3 linked regions of the Sus scrofa genome follow. The protein of the gene in region 1 purifies or fractionates together with the protein of each later gene. This does not show direct contact. Links are inferred from orthologs where the notes say so. Each region holds a gene or a part of one and is shown in the gene's direction. Other genes may lie near its edges. The genes, in order: AGO1, TNRC6A and STUB1.

Region 1 (4,272 bases):
CTGGGAGCGGATGTTACACACCCCCCGGCAGGGGACGGGAAAAAGCCTTCTATCACAGCAGTGAGTGATACTTTTCAACTTCCTCATAAGCTTCTCCTCTTTGCTCTGAGCCCCCAGGACTACACATGATTTCCTTCCCTCAGCTCTGGCACTTGAGCCTTCACAAGATCTTTGTATTTCAGCTCATCATTTCCATTAACCACTCCTTTGGTAACTTAATAAAACTAACTCTGTTTGATGTCTTCTTTTCAAAGAGAGCAGTGAGAGTGTAGCCTGTGGCCAATGACTTGGCCTCATCTCTGTCACTCTTTTCTGTGTTTGAGTTTCCTTCTCTCTGTGCCCACTTTTGGGATATGGCTACTACCATATCTCTTCTCTGGAATCCCTTTTAAGGGAGTTATTTGGTTGTTGGGATTGTCCTTTACTCTTCCCCATCCCTACCCCTGATCCATTTAGTAGATTAGATAACTCTCCATTTGCTCTCCTGACTTCTTTGCTTGCTGTCTCATAGGAGCTTCTGAATTGCTAAAGGGCCCAGGCCTTCTTTTTACTTCTCTTTCCTCATGTTTCTCTAGGCAGACTGGGCCTATCTCAGTAAATGCAGGGTAACCCTATACTTTGCTTACCTTTACTTTCCTTGTGGCCATTCATCCTGGGCTGTGGCCACTGTCCCCTTAGAAAATAATATTAATGTTTGCACCACCCTCAAGAAGCCTTTTCACTATGGTTCCTAGGGTAGATTAGCACTTGAATTAAAACTTGTGTTTCGATGAGCTCACTCTTTGAGTTAGTAGTGCCAAAGCTTCACATGCCTCTACAAGGGGTAGGAAAATCAGACTTATCGAGTACCTATTATGGGATAGGCCCTGTATAAGGTGCCTTCTGTATACCACAACAGCACTGCAAGTAAGTAGTATTCTTAACTCCATTTGAGAGGAGAACAAGAAGATCAAAGTAAGTAATTTCCATATTTGTGATAGTATAGATGTTGAAACCAGGGATTATTGAATGCAGAAAAACCCACTCATTTGATTGCATAGTTTTCTTAATAAGAAGCCTTTTCCCAAACCCACAATCTAACATGCTGGGAGGGTGGAGGTTCTAGGAGCTGATCCTGTCCCTTTGATTATCAGGTCGTAGGTAGTATGGATGCCCACCCCAGCCGTTACTGTGCTACTGTGCGGGTGCAGCGACCGCGGCAGGAGATCATTGAAGATTTATCCTACATGGTACGTGAGCTGCTCATCCAGTTCTACAAGTCCACCCGCTTCAAGCCTACCCGCATCATCTTCTACCGAGATGGGGTTCCTGAAGGCCAGCTCCCCCAGGTAGGGCCCACAATAGGAAAAGGAAACCTTCACATTGAGGCCAGGGGGCCAGATGGTAGTAGAGTACTGCTGCCTTTTCTAAGCTTTTGGTACTGGGAGGTACTGCTACTTAGGGAGGGAGATTAAGTGGAATAGACTTGGAAGCAGACATGACAACTGAGAGATGGTGTGTACAATCACCGATAGACCTTTCTTGTAGTAGAAGACCCTCCTCAGTGCCTTTTTACTAGTTCATGTTGAAGACTGATTCTTCAGACCAGTGGTTCTCAACTTTGGCATCCATCAAAATCTTTTGAAGGGCTTATTAAAATAGACTGTAGGGCTCTATCCTTAGTTTCTGATTCAGTGAGTCTAAGATAGGACCCTAGAATTTGTAGTTCTGACAAGTTCCTGGGTGATGCTGCTGGTCTGCAGGCCACATTGCTGAAGGTCAGTGCTGTTGACCTTCCTTCACAATGTTCCTCCAATCCTTTCTCCCTTCTGTTGTGTAGCTACTATTCTGAAGTGGTCTCCTTGACTACTATTTAATAAATAGTAATATAACTATCATTTATTGGGTATCTCTTATGTGCCATGAACTGTGCTAAGCATTTTGTATGTGTTCTATTTAATGCCTACAATAGCCCTATGAAATAATAATAATAATTACTATTCCATTTGATAAATGAGGAAACTGAGGCTTGAAAATGTTAAATGATTTCTTCGGTGTCACTCAGGGTAATAAGTGGTGGAACTGGGATTCAGACAAATTAGTCTGATTCCAAAGTCTATGGTCTTGACACTATGCTAAATTTCCTCAAAGTTATCCAGTATTTCCTAAAATACCAGAGAAATTTATCATAATACGTCTGTGTTCATAAATGTCTAGTGACTTCATATAGCCTGGGGTTAAAATTCAAACTACTTAGAAAAGCAATCACAGTTATTAAGCCCATACTAGGTTTTTTAATGCTTTCTCTTAATAATTTATTTTAGTCTTCACAACAGCTTTGTGAGGCTGAGCTTATTGATAACTATAGTTGATATGGAGAAAATGAGACTTAAAAGGGTTAAGTAACTTGGTTGAGGCAATACAAGTAGATAAAGTTTGGGTTTAAACCTAGTTCTAATTGATTCCAAATATTATTAACTTTAGCCATACAGTTTTTACTCCCTGTATCTGACATCCAAGGCCACAAGGCAGCTACTGCCTACCTATGGTTTTTCACCTGTGGTAGCTAGTCCCTCTTCTTATAATACTGCTTTTTTGTAGAACTGAGTTCATCTAATCCCTCTATACCTATTTCTGAACTGTGTATTTGCTCCTCTATGGTGGTCCCAATGCTGTATGCTTTTAGAGCTCATGAGCAACTCACATTTTCCTCTTGATTCTGAAATTGACCTTTCTGTGGGCATTATGATTTCTCTGTAAATCTTGGTTCTGTGTCTTGATGTTAGGTTTCATTATGCATAGGAACCAGGTAGTGTTCTCTGTTGATACTAAGCCTCCAAGCTAAGGTTTTATAGGAACATGTCAGGTGAACTGTCTACAGGCATACCTTATTGTGCTTCGCTTCATTATGCTTCACTGATATTGCATATTTTTTACAAATAGAAGGTTTGTGGCAGCCTTGCATCCAGCAAGTCTATCAGCACTGTTTTTCCAATAGCTCACTTCATGTTTCTGTGTCACATTTTGATAATTCTTGAATATTTCAAACTTTTTATTATTATTTTATTTGTTATGGTGGTCTGTGATCAGTGATCTTTGGTATTACTATTAAGATTCACTGAAGGCTCAGGTGATGGTTAGCATGTTTTAGCCATAAAGTTATTTTTAATTAAGGTATGTACATTGGAGTTTTTTTTGGACATAATGCTACTGCACACTTAAATAGACTCTAGTATAATATTAATGTAATTTTGATATCCACTGAGAAACCAAAAAATTTTTATAGTGGTCTGGAACTGAACCCACAACATCTCCAGGGTATGCCTGTATAAGGCTAATTTTGGCAGGAAGGGCTCGTCATGTCTAATGGTTGGGTGTCAGCTTATAAAGGGAGTCTGAACAAAAAGCCATATTACAACCCCATAGAAAGATGTGTAAACTCAAGAGGAGCTCTATGTCTCTTTGTCTCCCTCCTCACCCTGTGCCTAGATCCTCCACTATGAGCTGCTGGCCATTCGTGATGCCTGCATCAAACTGGAAAAGGACTACCAGCCTGGGATCACTTATATTGTGGTGCAGAAACGCCATCATACCCGCCTTTTTTGTGCTGACAAGAATGAGCGAGTGAGTGAGGGATTGAGGAAGCCACCCATACCCTCGACTTGTCTCCCTTCTCTAATAAGGAAGAAGCCCTTGAAATAAAATCTGAGAATTTAGTCCTTGGCCTGTCCTTCCTCCCTGGCCCCTTTCTTCCCCTTAGCTCTTGTGGTCCTTCCTCTGCCACTTGCTTCCCTTTGTTTCCCCCTTCTCCCCTCCTTCCCTTATACTTCATCTCCCTCCTCCTAGCTCCCTGGCCTATAGACCCCATATATAGACCAGCTCCCAGAGAAGGGAAAGGGAACTGCCATTTATTGAACTTCTCCTATGTGCCAGACACTGTACAAGGCGTCTTCCTCACAGCAGCCCTGTGAGGTAGGTACTATTATTATCTCCAATTTAACCTTAGAAAGGTTAAGTGACTTGCTAAGATCACACAGCTAATAAATGGTGAAAGCAGCAGTTAAACACAGGTCTGTGTAACTTTAGAAGCCTGTTATTTCAATACCCAATACCCTCTGGGAATAGCAACTTTCACTTTACTATTGGGATTCTGGTGGCGTCAGATTAGAATTGAGTTGGGGCCCTGGTTAGGGCCAGGCAGGTCTTGGGATCTTGGTTGTCTTTGTCTCTATACAGATTGGGAAGAGTGGTAACATCCCAGCTGGGACTACTGTGGACACCAACATCACCCAC
Region 2 (4,272 bases), on another chromosome or scaffold:
TCTATGTACCACACCTTCTTGATCCACTCCTCTGTCGATGGACATTTAGGTTGTTTCCATGTCTTGGCTATTGCACATAGTGCTGCAGTGAACATCGGAGTACATGTGTCTTTTGGAGTCATGGTTTTCTCTGGATAGAAAATGCCCAGGAGTGGGATTTTGCTGGATCAAATGGTAGTTCTATGTTTAGTTTTCTGAGGCATCTCCATACTGTTTCCCACAGTGGTTGCACCAATGTACAATCCCACCAACAGTGTCATAGGCTTCCTTTTTCTCCACACCCTCCCCAGCACTTAACTGTTTGTGGACTTTTGGATGATGACCATTCTGGCTGGTGTAAGGTGGTGCCTCATAGTGGTTTTGATTTGCATTTCTCTAAGAATGAGTGATGTTGAACATCTTTTCATGTGTGTTTTGGCCATCCGTTTGTGAAAGACTGAGTCCTTGAATGTCCTGTGTACATCCCAGCATTGAGGAAGCACAAAGAAGTGTTCTCAGCTGTGGAGGGAGGAGAACCCAGAATGGGCCTTTGGTAAGGATGTGGAGGCAGAGAGCTGTGCCCACTCTTTAAAGACTTGTCTAAGTAGGATGGTAGCCCGGGAGCTGGCTGTTTCAAGCAAGGATTTTGCAGGACGGAGGGTTTCCATGAGAAGAGGTCATCCTTATTGCAGAGATGTCAGAATGAGGAGAGCAGAGCAAGCCCTGAGAGAGGGGAAGATGTTTCCCATCTGCTGAATGGAGTATGAAAGTAGAGTCATAAGCATTAAATTTGAATGCACATTCAGAATGTGCATGACTGGTATGCTGTAAGCACCTACTAGATGGTGGTTTGTCCTGATTGTGTTTTTGTTATTTGTTTCTGGAAACAACGTTTTTATGATAAAAGTAAGCAGATTAGAGATGACCAAAGATGTCTTATAACCTTCTATTTATGAGTCTCTTTTCAAGTTAACCAGTGCAGTAAAATAACAGTATCTCGTAAACACAACTTGTGGGGAATATAATATTTACTAAATACTAATGCGTTTTTCATGTCTTTGTCAAGGCAGAAGTCATTTCCGTATTTTTCATTACATTGTAAATTTACCTGAAACGGACTAGGTTAATTATCTTTCTACTTGATGACATAGTCTCCTGCATTTATTAGGAATGTTACAAGACAAACGAATGGAGATAGATAAACATAGCCTAAATATTGGTGATTACAATCGAACGGTCGGGAAAGGCCCTGGTTCTCGGCCTCAGATTTCCAAAGAGTCTTCCATGGAACGCAGTCCTTATTTTGATAAGGTAAATTATTTGTTTGTTTTTTGTTTGTTTTACCCCTGTGGCTAAGAAAGGAATACTCTTAATAGCATGATTTTTTCATTAATATTTTAGAACATTTAATACAATGGAAAACGTTATAGTCCAGTGCCAGCTCCTACTACTGGATTCGTAGTTCTTTGTCCTTTTATGTCTCAATTGAGCCTAGGGATTGTGTTTATATTTTCCTCTTAATCCCATAAAATATGTTTGGTTCTTTTTATGTACTCTAGAATTAACACTAATCTGATCTCTTCTGTTTTCTACCTGTTTCCTGTTGATGCTGGAATGTCATGTGACTTCTCTTCTGTTCCTGCAATGATTTCTCCCTTCCACTTGTTTGCTTGGCTGGTGTTGCACATCTTTCTGTCTGTCCAATCAGGATGGCATTGTAGCAGATGAATCCCAAAACATGCAGTTTATGTCCAGTCAAAGCATGAAGCTTCCCCCTTCAAATAGTGCACTACCTAACCAGGCCCTTGGCTCCATAGCAGGGCTGGGTATGCAAAACTTGAATTCTGTTAGACAGGTAAGTCCACGTGTGTATTTTAGGCTCTCTGTTGAATGATTTGTAGAAGTAATAAGATCTCTCTTACATGTAGTTGCTGTGTTTAAGTCAATATTACAGTGTGCTAAAGAAGTGTTTGTCCTTGAAGAATCCCAGTGTTATGTGGTGGTTGTTGTTGGTTTTCGTAGAATGGCAATCCCAGTATGTTTGGTGTTGGAAACACAGCAGCACAACCCCGGGGCATGCAGCAGCCTCCAGCACAACCTCTCAGTTCATCTCAGCCTAATCTCCGTGCTCAAGTGCCTCCTCCATTACTCTCCCCTCAGGTAAAAAAGAAACGTCCACTGTATTCTTTTCTGTTTACTTGGTGGAGAACTTTGAAGAAGTTTATATTTGAATGAGACCACTGGGTTGATCAACGTAGTATTGGTTGGAAACTTTGAGATACACCTGATCCTGAATGAGTTATTATTACAACAGGATGGAGGTAGGGTGCAGAAAATTTACCAAAGATAATTTAAATCTCAGATGTATTCTTTTCATACAGAGAGGAGGAAGAAGATAATAGCAAAGTAAATTGACCGGCTTAAGATTCATTTCTGCTATGTTTCACTTAAGCTCATGAAAATACATGTGAACAATAAATTAGTGAAGTCAAGAATAACAATTAGAAAGAACACAACCCCCATAATAGTTGACAAATTTCATTGGTCTCTTGATAGTTTAAAATACTCAGTATACATTCTGTTGGCTCGATTTATTTTATCAACATTATTAACTTACCGTTGTGATCCCAAGGTTCCAGTTTCATTGCTGAAGTATGCACCAAACAACGGTGGCCTGAATCCGCTCTTTGGCCCTCAACAGGTAGCCATGCTGAACCAGCTATCCCAACTAAACCAGCTTTCTCAGATCTCCCAGTTACAGGTATACATTTATTGAATGTCTTCTGTCTGCTCAACACTAGAATCTGTGCGGGAGCTGTTGCGCTAAACAAAGCGGGCACAGTCGTGGCCCGCAGTCTGTGAGTGGAGACCGTGAACTCAAAGGGCGGGGTGCTGAGTGAGCAAGCCCGGCCAAGGCTGGGGTGGTGGTGGGGGTGGGATGACTAGGAAAACCTGCCCTGATGAAGTGGAAGTTTAGATTGAGCAGAGGACTGAATTCACCAGCGTGGCTGGAGGCCGGAGGGTCCAAACAAGAGATCGTATTAGATGAGGCAGGATATGCTGGCATTGACGAGATGGCGCCATGCCTTTGTAGGTACCTCTGCCACAGCCACTCGGAAACTAACTAGTCTGATGATGGGATACTGACTGACCTTTTTAAATCTTCCCCCCAGCGATTGTTAGCGCAGCAGCAAAGGGCGCAGAATCAGAGAAGCGTGCCTTCTGGGAACCGGCAGCAGCAAGACCAGCAGGTAGATCTGATCCTTCCCCGTGCTTCACTTACACTCAGCTGAGGTCACTTCCATGGTAACAAGAGATTTGAAGTACTTCTATTAAAATATGAAAAATACTCTTCAGTGAGTCTTCTGTCTGCCCCAAGGTCTTCATTGGTGTACAGTGATTATTCACCTTCCTCCTGAGAAGGAAGTGAATTCAAAAATGAAGAGGAATTCGAGTGTCTGTAAAGGCTTTTCTCCACAAATTTTCCCAATCATCTTGTCGTTTCAAGGGTCGACCTCTTAGTGTGCAGCAGCAGATGATGCAACAGTCTCGTCAACTTGATCCAAACCTGTTGGTGAAGCAGCAGACTCCACCATCTCAGCAGCAGTCACTCCATCAGCCAGCCATGAAGTCTTTCCTTGAAAATGTCATGCCCCACACTACACCTGAGCTGCAAAAAGGGCCATCACCAATAAATGCTTTCAGCAACTTCCCTATAGGTGGGTTTCTCCATGGCCAGAGCATCTGGCTGGTGCTTGGCCATCACAGGTCTACATGCTGCTCTCTTACCTGTCCAGGGCTGTTCTTTACCTGCTCCCTCTCTGCTGTCTTTGTGCTTCAGGAAGACCAGTCTCTGTTCAAGAAAATCACGCTATTTCAAAAATTCCATGCTCATTCGAAGTGGGTTAGAATAAAGATGTTATTTCTTTCCAAGGCTCAGATATCTTCATTGTAGCGTATGAAGAGGACAGGAGGGCTAAAATGACGTTACTGTTCCAGTCACATCTGAGTTTCCCTTATTTGTTTAAATATTTATTTATAAATGATCACCGGCATGAGTGTAGAAAATACAGATAAGACAAGGGATTGCATTTGCAGTGACTTGCCCCCCTCCCTTTTAAAATTGTGTTTCCAGGAGTTCCCGTCGTGGCTCAGCAGTTAACAGATCTGACTAGCAGCCATGAGGATGCAGGCTCGGATCCTGCACTGCTGTGGCTGTGGTGTAGGCCAGCACTTACAGCTCCGATTCAACCCCTAGCCTGGGAACCTGCATATGCCATGAGTGCAGCCCTA
Region 3 (4,372 bases), on another chromosome or scaffold:
CTTCCCCTCTTGCTTCTCTGCACCTGTCGTGAGCTGCGTCTGTGAGAGACGGGCCAGACGGGCTGGGGAGGGACTGTGGGCCTCACAGGCAGGTGTGAGTTCAGCAAGCATTTATTGGGCTCCTACAGCAGCCAGCCTCTGGCCCAGAGACTTGTGCCCTGAGGTCACAGAGCAGGTGAGCAGGATCTGGGCCACAGCCAAATCAGTCGGTCTGGGTCCGGCGCTTCTTGGCTGGCCTGGAGTCCTCGGGGGCGGCTGGGCTGGGACCGAGGTCGGGCAGCAGGTCAGGGCACAGCTTCTGCCCTATAGCCCAGGTCCACAGGGCTGTCTCCACACGATGCGGGGTCCACAGCCCTGAGGCACTGCCTAAGGAGGGGCAACAGGGAGTCTGGGGCCCAGGTCACCCTGCTCTGCTGGGAAGCTCTGCACCCTCCACCCTGACCAGAGTCCTGAATGCCCTCCCTCGCTGCCAGCAGTCTCCTCACCATGGCTCAGAGCTGTGGCTCGCTCCTGCACCCGGCTCAGGTACAGCAGGTAGTGCTTGAGGGTGTACTGCAGGGCTGGCAGACCGGGCACCGCGGCCACTGCCTCCTCAGACATGAAAGCTGCCACCTCGGGAGCTCCGGCAGCCAAGACCGCTATGGGCAGCAAACAGCCAACACTCAGGCCCCACCAGCCTCAAGACACCTTCGGGGCTGCCATTCGCAACAGCTCTTGGTGTCATGAACGTGGCCATCAGGCGATGTCCCAGGCAAATGTACTAACAGACCAGGTTCCGCCCGCGACCCTGCCAGGGCGCCAGGCTCTCCCGACTAACCCGAGGCCGTGGCCGGGCCCACGCCCCGCAGGGCGCGTAATTCCGTGACCGCGGCGTGCATGTCTGGCAGGAGGGGGAAGGCGGCAGCCGAGTGCTGCACCACCAACTCCGGGGCGTTGGCGCTGACGAGCTGATGCAGGCGCGGCCTGAAGCGGCCCCGCTGGTCAAGTCGGGGTGGGGGTCACGGGTGCTGGACCTCGCTAGGGGCCCCGCCCCACAGCGCGAGGGCCCGCCCCCGGGCGAGCCACGCCCACGCCCACACCGCTACGCCCCGCCCCGGAAGGAGGCCCCGCCCCCCAAGTGGGAAGTTCCTCACAGCCAGCTTCCAAGCCAGCAGCTGCCCCAGCTCTTCTCGAGTCACGTGCTTCTCCTCCCGGCCCTCGATGGCTGCGGGCAACGCCTCTCGATACCTGGAGAAGAGCTGTGACGGCGACTCCGGGCCACGGGGGTCCCCCGCCCACCCGATGCCCCTATCACCCTACCATCGGTCCAGGGCTTCCAGCCGCCCCTGGGGGCCCGCGCGCGCTCGGAGCACTTCCCCGTGGCGGCCCAGGACGGCGGCCCAGAGGCTCGGGTCCTCACAGCCCCAAAGGCCGCGGGCCGCCGCCATGTCCACGCGCCGGGGCAGGGCTTCGGGGGCGGGGCGCCGGGGCGCCGGGGTGGGCTTCCGCCCCGACGACCTCGGCTCTCCTCAGGTTGCCGACGCCGCGCGTCGAGTCGCCGCGAGCGCACGCTCCCTGCCAACCCCGCCCCCGCGGCGCGTTGGGGGCACGCGAGGCCCCGCCCAACCGCACGGCCGGAAGTTCCGGTGGCAGAGCGCAGGACTGGGCCCGAGCGGATCGCGGGCTCGGGGTGCGGGCGCTGGGCGGGCCGGGCGCGGAGCCTGGGAGCGGAGCCCAGGCCGTGCCGCGCGGCGCCATGAAGGGCAAGGAGGAGAAGGAGAGCGGCGCGCGGCTGGGCGCCGGCGGCGGCAGCCCGGAGAAGAGCCCGAGCGCGCAGGAGCTAAAGGAGCAGGGCAACCGGCTCTTCGTGGGCCGCAAGTACCCGGAGGCGGCGGCCTGCTACGGCCGCGCCATCGTGAGTGCGCCCGGGCCGCGGGAGGGGGCAGGCGTCGGGGCCGGAGGAGGGGCCGGGCCGGGCCGCGGCTTCGGCCCCGCGTCCTCCCCGGAGCCCCTGTCTGGCCGCCCCTACCGGACTTTCGGAGGGGATGCACTTCGGCTCTGAGGACTGAGTGATCTTCTCTCAGAGAGGCCAAGGCTACGGCTCCCGAGCCAGGGTTGGTGGTCAGAGAACTGTGGCGGGTGGGAGCTTCAGGGTGCTTGCAGCCCACTGGGCTGGGGGTCCAAGCCCAAAGCTGGGGATTTTCAGGAGTCTGGGAAACCTGTCTTCGCAAGACTCGTTGGAGTCGAGGGGGCGGGCTCAGGTAGGCTCCACCCTTCCTCCGCGCCCAGAGACCTGGGTGCTGAGAAACCTCTAGTGTCTTGATTCCAGCCGTGGGTCTCAAGCTAGGACAGAAAGGGCAGGCTGAACTCACTCCCTCATGTTGGCTGGTCCGGCCTTGGTCCCCAGACCCGGAATCCCTTGGTGGCAGTGTATTACACCAACCGGGCACTGTGCTACCTGAAGATGCAGCAGCACGAGCAAGCCCTGGCTGACTGCCGGCGCGCCCTGGAACTGGACAGCCAGTCTGTGAAAGCACACTTCTTCCTGGGGCAGTGCCAGTTGGAGATGGAGAGCTATGATGAGGCTATTGCCAACCTGCAGCGAGGTGGGCTTGCTGGCTGGCCTGTTCCAGGGTGCCTGGGACCAGGCGGGGGGACTGGCTCGAGGGTTACCCGGATCCTTTGTTCCCCCAGCCTACAACCTGGCCAAGGAGCAGCGGCTCAATTTTGGGGATGACATCCCCAGTGCTTTGCGCATTGCCAAGAAGAAACGCTGGAACAGCATCGAGGAGCGGCGCATCCACCAGGAGAACGAGCTGCACTCTTACCTCACTCGACTCATTGTGGCTGAGCGTGAGAGGTGGGCTGTGGTGTTCATGGGCTCCACCCCACCTCCCAAAGTCACCATTCTTTTTTTCCTTGTTTTTTTGTTTTCGTGTCTTTTCGCCATTTCTAGGGCCCCTCCTGTATCATGTGAAGGTTCCCAGGCTAGGGGTCCAATCGGAGCTCTAGCCGCCGGCCTACGCCAGAGCCACAGCAATGCGGGATCCGAGCCGTTGTCTGCGACCTACACCAGTTCTTGACAACGTCGGATCGTTAACCCACTGAGCAAGGCCGAGGTTCAAACCTGCAATCTCATGGTTCCTAGTCGGATTCATTAACCACTGAGCCATGACGGGAACTCGCAAAAGTCACCATTCTGAGTCGTGAACATAAGCGTTTATTGAGGACCAGCCTGGGAAAGCAGGAGATGAGGGAACAGGGCCTGAATCGGCCCAAGGTGGAGTCTGATCTCCTCTGGCCAGACCCATCTCTGATCAGCTGTGTGGTCCACCCCAGGGAGCTGGAAGAGTGTCAGCGGAACCACGAGGGTGAAGAGGATGACGGCCACATCCGGGCCCAGCAGGCCTGCATCGAGGCCAAGCATGTGAGGGTGCCCTGCCCACGTGTGGGTCCTGTGTGTATTTGCACGTGTGTGATGTGAGGTGACCCTGGCTCCTGTTGGGTCTTTGTGGGCGGGGTGCCTGGGGAAAGGCGACAGGGGCTCAAGCTTCTCTGGAGCTGCCTGGTTTTTTGTAGGATAAGTACTTGGCAGACATGGATGAGCTCTTCTCCCAGGTGGATGAGAAGAGAAAGGTAAGCTGCCTGTTCCCTGGGCCCTGTGGGTAGCAGGAGCCAGGGCAGTGCCCCTTCCCGCTCCTGACCTGAGCTTGGGTGCTGCAGAAGCGAGACATCCCTGACTACCTGTGTGGCAAGATCAGCTTCGAGCTGATGCGGGAGCCGTGCATCACGCCCAGTGGCATCACCTATGACCGCAAGGACATTGAGGAGCACCTGCAGGTAAGGGTCCGTAGCCGCTGGGGGCAGGGCCCACACCCACTGGGCATCTTCTCATTCTGATCCTGTTGCCACTGCAGCGCGTGGGCCACTTTGACCCTGTGACTCGGAGCCCCCTGACCCAGGAACAGCTCATCCCCAACCTGGCCATGAAGGAGGTCATTGATGCGTTCATCTCGGAGAATGGCTGGGTGGAGGACTACTGAGGCAGGGCAAGTGGGTGGGCCCCTCACCCACCCTGCCCAGTATCCTGGCTTCTTGGGAGGGCCTTGGGGCAGCAGCCCCTAGCCTCTGTACATAGTTCGTGTCCCTGGATCCCCACCCTGGTATCCCCAGCCCCAGCCCCACCAGTTCTGCTGGGCCATGAGGCTCCCCCATCCTCCTGTGCCAGAAGCGGCAGGTGAGGGTGGGCCAGGCCGAGGTTGCTGCTGCCACCACTGTCCCTGTAATAAAATCTGTGAGCACTATGGGGGCGTGTGCTGGTGTGCAACGGCTTACCAGCCACCCCCTGGGTTAGCTGAGGAACGTAGAGATGAAGACGCTGATGTCAAGGTTG

Evidence for each region.
Region 2: the proteins of AGO1 (region 1) and TNRC6A purify together in Homo sapiens (affinity purification with mass spectrometry; 10 studies listed by BioGRID and IntAct, with this or other methods). This does not show direct contact. The link is inferred for Sus scrofa from reciprocal best matches to the Homo sapiens genes AGO1 and TNRC6A.
Region 3: the proteins of AGO1 (region 1) and STUB1 purify together in Homo sapiens (affinity purification with mass spectrometry; 3 studies listed by BioGRID and IntAct, with this or other methods). This does not show direct contact. The link is inferred for Sus scrofa from reciprocal best matches to the Homo sapiens genes AGO1 and STUB1.

What each region holds. Positions count from the first base shown.
Region 1 is NC_010448.4:92,065,347-92,069,618, forward strand, and holds part of AGO1 (protein argonaute-1), read left to right. Parts: coding exon 1-60; intron 61-1,133; coding exon 1,134-1,328; intron 1,329-3,468; coding exon 3,469-3,603; intron 3,604-3,825; exon of another isoform or gene 3,826-3,951; intron 3,952-4,215; coding exon 4,216-4,272.
Region 2 is NW_018084874.1:603,395-607,666, reverse strand, and holds part of TNRC6A (trinucleotide repeat-containing gene 6A protein), read left to right. Parts: intron 1-1,147; coding exon 1,148-1,290; intron 1,291-1,687; coding exon 1,688-1,834; intron 1,835-2,001; coding exon 2,002-2,139; intron 2,140-2,611; coding exon 2,612-2,740; intron 2,741-3,152; coding exon 3,153-3,230; intron 3,231-3,487; coding exon 3,488-3,698; intron 3,699-4,272.
Region 3 is NC_010445.4:41,092,425-41,096,796, reverse strand, and holds STUB1 (E3 ubiquitin-protein ligase CHIP), read left to right. Parts: upstream 1-1,615; 5' UTR 1,616-1,735; coding exon 1,736-1,894; intron 1,895-2,386; coding exon 2,387-2,585; intron 2,586-2,673; coding exon 2,674-2,839; intron 2,840-3,176; exon of another isoform or gene 3,177-3,318; coding exon 3,319-3,406; intron 3,407-3,558; coding exon 3,559-3,615; intron 3,616-3,702; coding exon 3,703-3,819; intron 3,820-3,896; coding exon 3,897-4,022; 3' UTR 4,023-4,283; downstream 4,284-4,372. Other genes in the region: uncharacterized protein LOC100524737, read right to left, coding at 203-366, 486-638, 818-977, 1,134-1,227, 1,300-1,427; JMJD8 (jmjC domain-containing protein 8), read right to left, coding at 4,330-4,372. UniProt on the Homo sapiens protein: E3 ubiquitin-protein ligase which targets misfolded chaperone substrates towards proteasomal degradation.